2 linked regions of the Caenorhabditis elegans genome follow. The protein of the gene in region 2 interacts with the protein of the main gene of each other region in a pairwise test. Each region holds a gene or a part of one and is shown on either strand. Other genes may lie near its edges. The genes, in order: lrx-1 and cpg-1.

The links.
Region 1: the proteins of cpg-1 (region 2) and lrx-1 interact in a two-hybrid assay, tested with the Caenorhabditis elegans proteins (one large-scale study listed by BioGRID).

The regions. Positions count from the first base shown.
Region 1 is NC_003283.11:12,251,151-12,256,258, reverse strand, and holds lrx-1 (LRP X(cross)-hybridizing), read right to left. Parts: upstream 3,575-5,108; 5' UTR 3,482-3,574; coding exon 3,395-3,481; intron 2,898-3,394; coding exon 2,793-2,897; intron 2,711-2,792; coding exon 2,426-2,710; intron 2,244-2,425; coding exon 2,114-2,243; intron 1,914-2,113; coding exon 1,788-1,913; intron 1,741-1,787; coding exon 1,606-1,740; intron 1,560-1,605; coding exon 1,443-1,559; intron 987-1,442; coding exon 865-986; 3' UTR 809-864; downstream 1-808. Other genes in the region: T04H1.12 (Activin_recp domain-containing protein), read right to left, coding at 430-616; T04H1.5 (G patch domain-containing protein 11), read right to left, coding at 3,910-4,048, 4,132-4,687, 4,738-4,912.
Region 2 is NC_003281.10:4,487,363-4,492,012, reverse strand, and holds cpg-1 (Chondroitin proteoglycan 1), read right to left. Parts: upstream 2,655-4,650; 5' UTR 2,651-2,654; coding exon 2,401-2,650; intron 2,349-2,400; coding exon 1,603-2,348; intron 1,557-1,602; coding exon 986-1,556; intron 939-985; coding exon 751-938; 3' UTR 621-750; downstream 1-620. UniProt on the Caenorhabditis elegans protein: Required for polar body extrusion during cytokinesis in embryo development. Affects cortical granule size. Has roles in meiotic chromosome segregation, osmotic barrier function and polarization in conjunction with cpg-2. Binds chitin.

The sequences.
Region 1 (5,108 bases), on a different chromosome or scaffold from region 2:
GATTAGTCAATAAACTTTGAATCTAGATTATCCCTGGGGTCATGTGCACTGACAATAAAAAATAAAATTCGGAATTAGGATAGTTCGGATTTATTTAAATTGAAATTGACTTTGCGAAACTTTTCAAACAAAATTGATAGATTTTTTTCAAATCAGCCTTGTATTGGACCAATTATATAATTTGTTCAAAAATTGGCAAGACTTTGGTAAAACTTAAGAAATATTTGGTTTTGAGCGCGCCAAAAATTTTAAAAATTTTAGCTCAACTTTGTTCAAACTTCTGCCAACTTCTGATTCAATTTTTTGGACCAGAACTTAATGACAGTTAATGGTAGTTAATCAATGTTGGAACAAAAAATATTGAGTCGGAGACGGTCAATACGAAATGATCAATATTAAAAGTTCCAACTTCAAAAAATATGTGCATACCAGAATTCTGACTAATTTGCATTGTCTTCACACAAAGTGCATTATTCAAACGACAATGTGAGCTCATTGGTTTGACGAGAACTCTGTCCATGTATGATGTTGAGTTGATGCACTCCAGTGATATACATATTAACGGAAGTAATGTCAAAAGTGTGAAAATAGTAACAGAATATACGGAAATACTCATGAGTCTAACACTGGTTGACTTTCGGTGTCAAAGTTGAAAAGGGGTAAGAGTAACAAAAAGAAGAGAAAAAGAGAAACAGTAAACCTTGAAAAATAACCAGTCCCCACCCTTTTCGACCTCTTTTCCGTCAAATTTTCAAAGCGAAACTAATCGTTTTGTCAAATAATTTGAAAGAATATTTCAAGAAGCAATGACATTCATGTATTTATTTATAAATTAAGGGAAATCGACAAGAAGTTCAGCAGTATCTAGTAACAATATTTTTCATCAGATCCATCAGCACAATCTGTTTCTCCATTACACCATTGTAGACGTGTCACTGATTGTTTTTGATTCTCGCAGAGCAAATATTTTTGGCGTCCTTCTTGTTCTGAAATAACAAGTGTAGTATTCGTCAGTGTTTATTTGGACACTTGGCTAAAAATACTTTTTTTCCTATGTTTTTGTCTCGAACAAGAAAAAGTTCGCACATTGAAGTTGTGCCAAAATGTGTGGTTATAGTTAAGAAAGACATTCCAAATTGTATGTATTTCTATTAATGTTGCACTCCCAATGTTAGACTTTGACAATTAAATATCTCAGTTGTCTTTTCTCCTATTTAAAAATTGTCATTTGACAATTTTTTGAAAACTTTTTTCTATCGTTTGCAGTCAATTATTTATTGAAAAATATGTTCAATATCTTTAAATTGAACCGAGGTATAACCTTTTAAAGTGAAATAGTAGGATGCGATATTATTAGAGGAAGTACTGTACATTATTTCGCCACTTATAACTTTCCAGAGGTGTTTTCCGGGTGAGAAGAAGGGAGGCAGAAAAAAACTTACTACAATTCATTTCATCTTCTCCATTTAAACAATCTTTCTTTCCATCACAATGCATATCTAAATCCACACATGAAACACCTCCACGCGATGTTCCACAGACGAACTTTCCAATACAAGCTTTAATTACTTTGTTATAAAGTACATTTTAAAAAGTAAAAATTACTTGTATTTTTACTGCATCCAATTTCATCAAGATTCGATCCATCTTCACAATCATCAGCCACACCGTCACATCTTTTGTTTGCAGGAATACAATGTTCACTCTTCACACATGCAAACTCATCACGTGCACACGATGCTAAAGGTTTTCAATTTAATTGGCAATTGTTGTAATGAGTAACTTACGACAATTGTTCTCATCTTCCCCATCGGCACAGTCTGGGTGACCATCACAACGTTTGCTCACATGGATACAGGATTGAGGCATTGCACAACAAGCAAACTCATTTTCAGTACAGGTGTCTTTGATTGCTGCAATATCAAACACTATTTTATATTGGAGCTTTTTGTAAATAAATATATTTTATAGATTTCGAGAAAAAATCGATGAAATAATTAAGTTTCCATAAAATCAAAATCAGAAAATTGCAGATTTACAAACTTTCAAGCGCACCTCATGGTGCATCAACGCCATATGAAATTTTATACATACTCTTAATTGAATGACTTACTACAGTGCATGACATGATCGTATTCTGGACAGAATTTAATAGCATTCTTGTGATTACAATTTTCAGTAGACTTATCAAATGCTTGATCTTCGGACATACACGCCAGAGGAAAAGTCTGGCCAATTGAACACTGAAAATATGAAAGAAGTTCGGAATTTCAGAAATCTATTGACTGTAGAAATATAAATATTGATAGCATACAAATAAAAATAGCTTATTTCGTGCATACAATAAAGATAAGTTTCAATACTTTAAATTATACATTTGTTCAACTATTTCTGTATTTCAGAAAAATAATTTCCAAAAAATTACCTGGAAGAAAACATGAGAGCATGAAGTGTTGTATACAAAATAATCAATCCTTTCTAATCCATATTGTGCTAGTACATCATCTGGGAATTCTCGTTTATCACAATAGTTAATTGCATAGCTGTTGTCTGGTTTTTCTGGAGCTTGAGTTTGAGGCATTGGTGGTGGGATTGTACCAGGTTCAACGATTCCAGATCCACCAAGTGGAAATACAGGGTTCACAACTTTAAATTGAGGTTCTTCAGTTTCATAAATGTCTACACTATCCACATCTGGTTCGACTACATCCTAAATATTGTTTCTTGATATTCTGGTAATGTAAACAAATATAGACCTATCCTCGGCCCTGGCCCAAGCCTTTATAACTTACAATATTTGGATATGGCTGCTGAACAGTATGAATGCTTGATTGAGGATTTGGAACGTAGCCTCCAGAACCAGACGAAGCACTAGGTTGTACATATGGATAAGGCTGCTGGAAAATATTTATACAATTCACTAAAGAAAAACGATTGTTTTGATTTTTTTCAAAATTAAGTTTTTAAATCGTCTGTGAATCCAATTGGAATCTTTATGTTGCCTAAAACCATAATGATTTTTTGTGCGATTTTTTGTCAAAATTAGGTCTCGATACGACAGAAATATTTTAAATACGGTGATTTTAAATAGTACTGTAGTGCGACTCATTTCACAATTTTTTCGATTTTACATAAATATTTTCCTTGTAGCTCATACCGATTTATATGTAAATACGAAACAAATAGTTAGAAATAAAGCATTAAAATCGGAACGAACGAGGAAAAATTGAAAAAAAAACTTGAACTTGAACTACAGTACTCCTTATAGGTGCAAATCCCTTGGCGAGCCCTTCATTTGAACAATATCTTGGTCGTGGTGAGACCCTAAGCATTAGAAACTTTGAGAAAGAGAAATAAGAACAAATGCTACAAATTTTTGAACAGTTCACTGTACCTGCTGAGTTGCTGTGCCATATAGATCCTGTGGAAGAACCGGTTGAACGGCTAGAAGAATGAAAAATATGGACGTTAACCATGCCATGATTTGCAAAATGATTGGCAATCAAATTTACCGGAACAGATCGAGAGAATGGATGAGCAGATGATAAAGATGGTGGAACTTGATGTTGCTGCCCACTGAAGACTGTAGCTGAAGAAGCACAAGTGTCGTGTGTGCACTGGACTTTCTTCTTTTTCAATTGTTTGTGTTCTTTTCTATCGCTAAAGAAGCTTTTCGCGCTGTTGGGGGCTACTGGTGGTGCGCGGCAACTGATCGCCACTTCAAGCTGACTGACTAGTGGTCACTTGTCACTTGATACGTTCCCACCTTGAGAAACAACACAGGAGCAGACAATAATGAAGCAAAAAAGCAAAAAAAAAAAGTGACACGATGTTAGGACACGAACTTGGTTATAAAAAAGGATTCATAGTATATACATCAAGAATTGAGATTTTATGAAAATAATTAATCTATTCATCTTCTCCATGATGTGCTCGACGAGTGCTCCCAGGACAATGTTCGATCATATCTTCTGGCGAGGAAAAGTTGGCTCCGCACCAAATACAATAGAAGTGACCATCTCGAAGATAATTGTTGATAGTGGAAAGTCTGAAATAAACGCATATTTAATACTATTGTCGGTTTGGATAAATAACGCTCATTGAAACCTTATCTACAAAACAAAAACTTACGCTTCTTCTAAAATTTCCGTTGACATTGTGAAATCATAATTCGGATCTTCTGGAGCTGCTAAACCATTTGAGTACTTATATTCTTCATCTTCTTTTTCAACTTTTTTATGGTAAGATGTAGTTTCCTCTTGAGCAACTTTATAACTTCTCCAAAACCACGAAACACTGGGAACTTTTTTTCCAATTCGATGATCCAACTCTTCGCACACCTTTCGACAAGATCTGATGTCTTTGACTAATTGCTTTGAGTTGGCATCAAGCTTCCGCCGTTTGGAATAGTCATCGATCAGCTCTTCATGCTTTGCCGCTTGTTCTTTCATTTTTTGCATTACAGCCTCAACTCGTTCATTGCGTTCTTGAACTGCTTCAACCTCGTGCCCAAGTCCCTTCCTATTAGCCTTGATATCGACACCAATTGGTTCCGTAATTCGAATTTCGTCTTCTCTTTGCTTTCCCAATGTCATACCAGGTTTGAATCCCATTTTTGCCATCAATGCAAATCCTTTCGATTCGTGGCTAATCGGTTTTGCGAGCGCCTCGTCGCGACGTTCTTTTTCTGAAATTTATTTGGTAAACTACAAAAATAATATACTACGATTTACAAACCTCGCTCAGCATGACTAGTTGGCCTTTTTGGTTTAAACGTGTCTCTGGACTCTTCAAATCTTGAATTTATTTGTAGTTCTCGCTTGTGAGCTCTAGATTTTGCAATTCCAACTGGTTGTTCACTAACTCCTTGGAGAATTTCAGCAGACATGTAGTCATCCTCATCGTCAGACATTCTGATCTTGAATCGAAATTTTTTATGAATAAGGTTAGCTTTTAACAAGAAGAAAGAAACAAAAGCGTAGCAAAAAACGCATTAGAATATTGAAACAGTTAGAAAATATTTTTCATTTCACATCGGCCGATGCATCGGGTTCATCTCGTAAAATATAAAACATGAGGTAACAACATTTGGAAACTCGGGAATGATC
Region 2 (4,650 bases):
CTATTTCCTCTCATTTTTTCCCTTCCTCATCTTCTTCTAGTGTTGTGAGAAAATAAAACAAAATCCAGGTTTTTGGCGATAATTGATTAAATTTATATTCAAAAGCTAATAACTCTATTATTTATTTGGTTCCTTTTGCACACCTCCCCACGACCTAGTCCCAATTTTTACAAGTCTAGTTCTTTGTACAAATATCAAAACATCGCCAGGATATATTTTTAAAAAATCAAAAAAGATGTTCTTACCTCTTTCTCTCTCACCACCTGGAGACAATATTTAGGTACCGTGTAGATCAATCTTCCCCCGGCTCTCAATTCCCCAAGTTTTCACCTTCTGTTTCTTTCTTTTAATGTTTATTTTACTAAAATGAAATATTGCACCTACGATTTGTTCGAGAGGAGTACACGACCGAGAATTCAAAAAACTAATTTCCGCGCGAAATTCAAATTCGATAGACGCAGAGGTTGATTTTTGGATTTTTTATGCTCCAAAACTGACTTTTGAGCGAATATATCAAATACAGCTACATCAACTTATTTGGAAATCTTTCAGCGTGCTGGATACACCTCTAAATAGTCAAATTCTATTAAGACCCTCATTAAGACACAGTAAGAATTAGACAGGCACAAGCATTTTATTTTAGTTGCATGCAAAGTATATAATATATTACAGGTTAGTTGTGATATGGGTAAGTAATATGCATTGGGTGTATGGCACTGGGATGAGTAGGCATTTGATAGATTACTTCTTTCAGTAGTACTGAACCGTCGTTTGATGACACTCGGCGATTTGATCGGCTGGAGCGCAACGAGCTTGCTCTGGGGAGAAGAACAATCCGTTCTCGCAGATGAAGATTGCCTCTTGCCCATTGACGCAGTTCTTGTAGTGTTGAGAGCATGGCTCGATTGCAGTGGCTCCCTCGACACAAGCTGGGACTTCTGAAAATTAAATGTTAGGTTAATTTATTCGAAAACTAGAAATATACCTGTGGTAGTTTCAGCTGGAACGGTAGTGGTTGGCACATCAGCAGCGGTAGTGCTTTCGACAACAATTGGAGCGTAACCGATAGTTGTGGTTGGGATATCAGCTGCAGTGGTTTCAACGACTTCTGACTCGTATCCGACGGTGGTGGTTGGAACTTCAGCTTCAGTTGTGGTCTCTTCAACTTCTGGTTCGTATCCGACGGTGGTTGTTGGGACGTCAGCGGCAGTGGTGGTCTCTTCGACGTATGGAACAGTTGTCTCAACGACTTCTGGCTCATATCCGACGGTGGTGGTGGTTGGAACTTCAGCTTCAGTTGTGGTTTCAACGACTTCTGGCTCATATACGGCTGTGGTTGATGGAACGTCGGCGGCAGTTGTCGTCTCTTCGACATATGGAGCGGTAGTCTCAACGATTTCTGGCTCATAACCGACGGTGGTTGTTGGAACTTCAGCTTCAGTTGTGGTCTCTTCAACTTCAGGTTTGTATCCGACGGTCGTTGTAGTCTCTTCAACATATGGAGCTGTGGTTTCGACGACTTCTGGCTCGTATCCGATGGTTGTTGTTGGAACATTCTGAAATAAATTTTTATGCAAACAATTTCTATATTTTCAAACTCACTTCAGCAGTAGTTTTCTCACTAGGATATCTGGCAACATAAGCGGCGGCAATTGGTTCGGCATAATCCTTAGTAGATGGAACATCCTCTGCAACAGTTGTCGTCTCCTCATATCCGTATCCATTGCTGTATGGCATCTCTCCAGAAGATTCAGGTGTAGTCTCATCAGCGGATCCCTCGTCGTTTCCAGATCCATTCGTGCACTCTGGAACATTCATAACGTAGTCACAAATGACACGAGCTTCGTCAAAGGCAAGTCGGGCTGGGCATTGCATTGGGATCAGGTATCCATTTGAGCAAGCGGTGTAGTGGTCACTGCACTCTCCGAATGAATAGAATCCGTCAGCTTTTCCAACACACGACTTGGTTACGGCAGAACGAGTGACTGGCTCATCGGCAGCTGGAGCACCAGTTGTGTACGGAACGATTGGAGCATATGGGCTGGCAGTAGTCTCCACTGGGACTGGAACATCTTCGGCTGGAGTAGTTGTCGAGTAATCGTCGACTGGAGCATATGCTTCTGTGGTGGTCTCTTCTGGAACTGTTACATCCTCGGCTGGAGTAGTCGTGGCTTCTTCGACTGGAGCATATGGATTAACAGTGGTTTCCTCAGATGGATAAGCCTCTTGTGTTGATGTCACATCTTGTGGAACTCCACCACACTGTGGAACGTTGTACGAATATTCGCAGGCGACGATACGAGGATCATAAATGAGATCGGCTGGACAATCCATAATTCTCGAGATTCCTGAAAATTAAATATTGTTTTGGAATAGGGACTTTTTTCTAGTTTAACATACCTCCAGAGCAAGTCAAGAATTGTGGAGAACATCCTCCAATCGCGTAGAGTCCGTCTTCCTTCGTGGAACAGTCAGTGTCGATTGCCACAGCATCGGCTCCAGATACGAATCCATTATCAGCCCCAGAACCATCTCCACTTCCGTCCAAAGTTGTGGTCTCGAGTGGCAGATTCTCATACATTCCAGCTACACCGTACTGTGCGTAGGCCGATGCAACAAGGAATGCAAGAAGAACTGGCTTGAGAGTCATCCTACTGAAAATAGAAATTCAATAGGGTTTTTTAGAATATAGTTGAAAAGAAAAGCAAAAATGAGAAGAAAACAGAGAAACGTCGATAGACAAATGAGAATGAAGTTGCAAATGATTTCTCGAGTCCTCGTCGGCCAAAAATCATCGAAACAACATCAAAACAAATGTAAAAATCAAAATTTCCCGCAGTTTTTAGTTGGAGATCAAATAAAATTAGCTACGGTCGCTGCGAAAAATTGTTGCTGGCGCGTTTCGCGTGCTTGCGCGATATTTACGAGGTTATTTTTTGCACTCGTGTACTGTATAAAATTAAAGGCGCGTACACAAAATATTTTCAAAAATTAAATTCTCGTGCCGAGACCCAACCTGCATTAGATTGGCAGCGCCTTTAACTTGTTTTTGTGTTTTTTTTTGCGAAAAATTATTTTTCGCTTTTTCGGAAATAAAATGAACAAAAAAAACGATAAAAATGCGAAATTTTTTGAATAATTTGGTCTTTTCTAGACTCATACGAGCAACTGGTTAACCTTTCAACGTGAAATATTTTAATTTTGATTATCAAAGAATAAGAAATCCAGTTTTTATTTTTTTATTTACAAATTTCCTTCTGAAAATCACAGGAAGCAACTATCCACTGAAAATCAAATCACCCAATTGCAAAATTTTCAATTACGATTTTAGAGGAACCGCTTAGAACACAACAACACTGAATAATTTATAAAATTTTCGAGGTTTTCCGTTCCACTAATCCGCGAACGACACGACACGTCATCACAAACGATGGCATTCTAAAATAAGATTAACATTGTGCCTTCTCATTCCATTTTTTAGACCCATAGTTCCCCCCTTTAGTCTAATTTTTTTGGTTTTCTTGAAAGGATTTAGTTCTTGCAAATTCTAAATACTAAATAATTCAATATTACTAAATTAGAAAAAAAGGAAATTTCACAGAATTATGTCACAATGAGTGTACAGCAACCAAAATATTATTGAAAATGATGCCTTACACGTATATTTTTCTTGGTTTCCAGATGTTTTCTTCTATGACTTTCAGGGTTTCAAATGACGCCGCTTGGATATCCTTTTCATGTGGTTTCCATCAAAATATTCTCAGATTTATTGTATCCTGCACAATTTTTATCTGAAAAAATGTCATTTTGATTTTTGAGACCGCTGAGACATAAAATGCTGATTCACTCTTCAATCTATTATCCCTAAATAAATCCCCTTATTTCTTGTTCTTTCATTTTTCCCCTTTTTCATAGCCAGGATTTTATGATTCTTAAGAACCAATTATTCGAATAGGACTTTGAAAAATGTAAGCATCTTATCCTGTGTTACAATTCTTTTCATTTCTGTAAATTGCAATTTAGACATCGTGTACTTCCCGGGAAGAAGTTTGAATTTTTTGCAGAGAATTTTACAGTTTAGACTAAATGAATTTATTTCATATTTAGTAGCTTTATATTTGTAAATCTAAAAAATTTCTTCCATCAGTTTCCAAAAATTATTTCGAATATTTTCACACTTCCAAAAACATTAACCATTTTTACCAAAATCGTCAAACTCTGTACAAAAAAATTAGGAATATACTTTCCTCGAGGGATTGAATCGGCAAAAACATTGTTTATTCCAAAACATTTATTGAAATAAACTGCATTGCTTTGATCCAATTAATCAGCTCCGGAATTTGAATATTGGTTGAAAACTAGGAAAGATATTTCCGTCAGGCACTTTGAAAATCTCTAATCTTTTCAAAAAAAAAAAGGAATGTTTTAGTCGTAGCCAAAAAAAAACTAATTACCTAGCACTTATATCCATTTGGCTATATATCTCAATAAAACACACATGATTAATCAATCCACCAAATTCTTAGAATTCCATTTACAAGTGTCATTTGTTGTTGAGAGTGGGGAAATCATTGAGAGAAAAACTAATTTGCAACTAGTAATATTCTTTGAAAACGTACATATGATCACATTGAAATATACCTTTTTCGT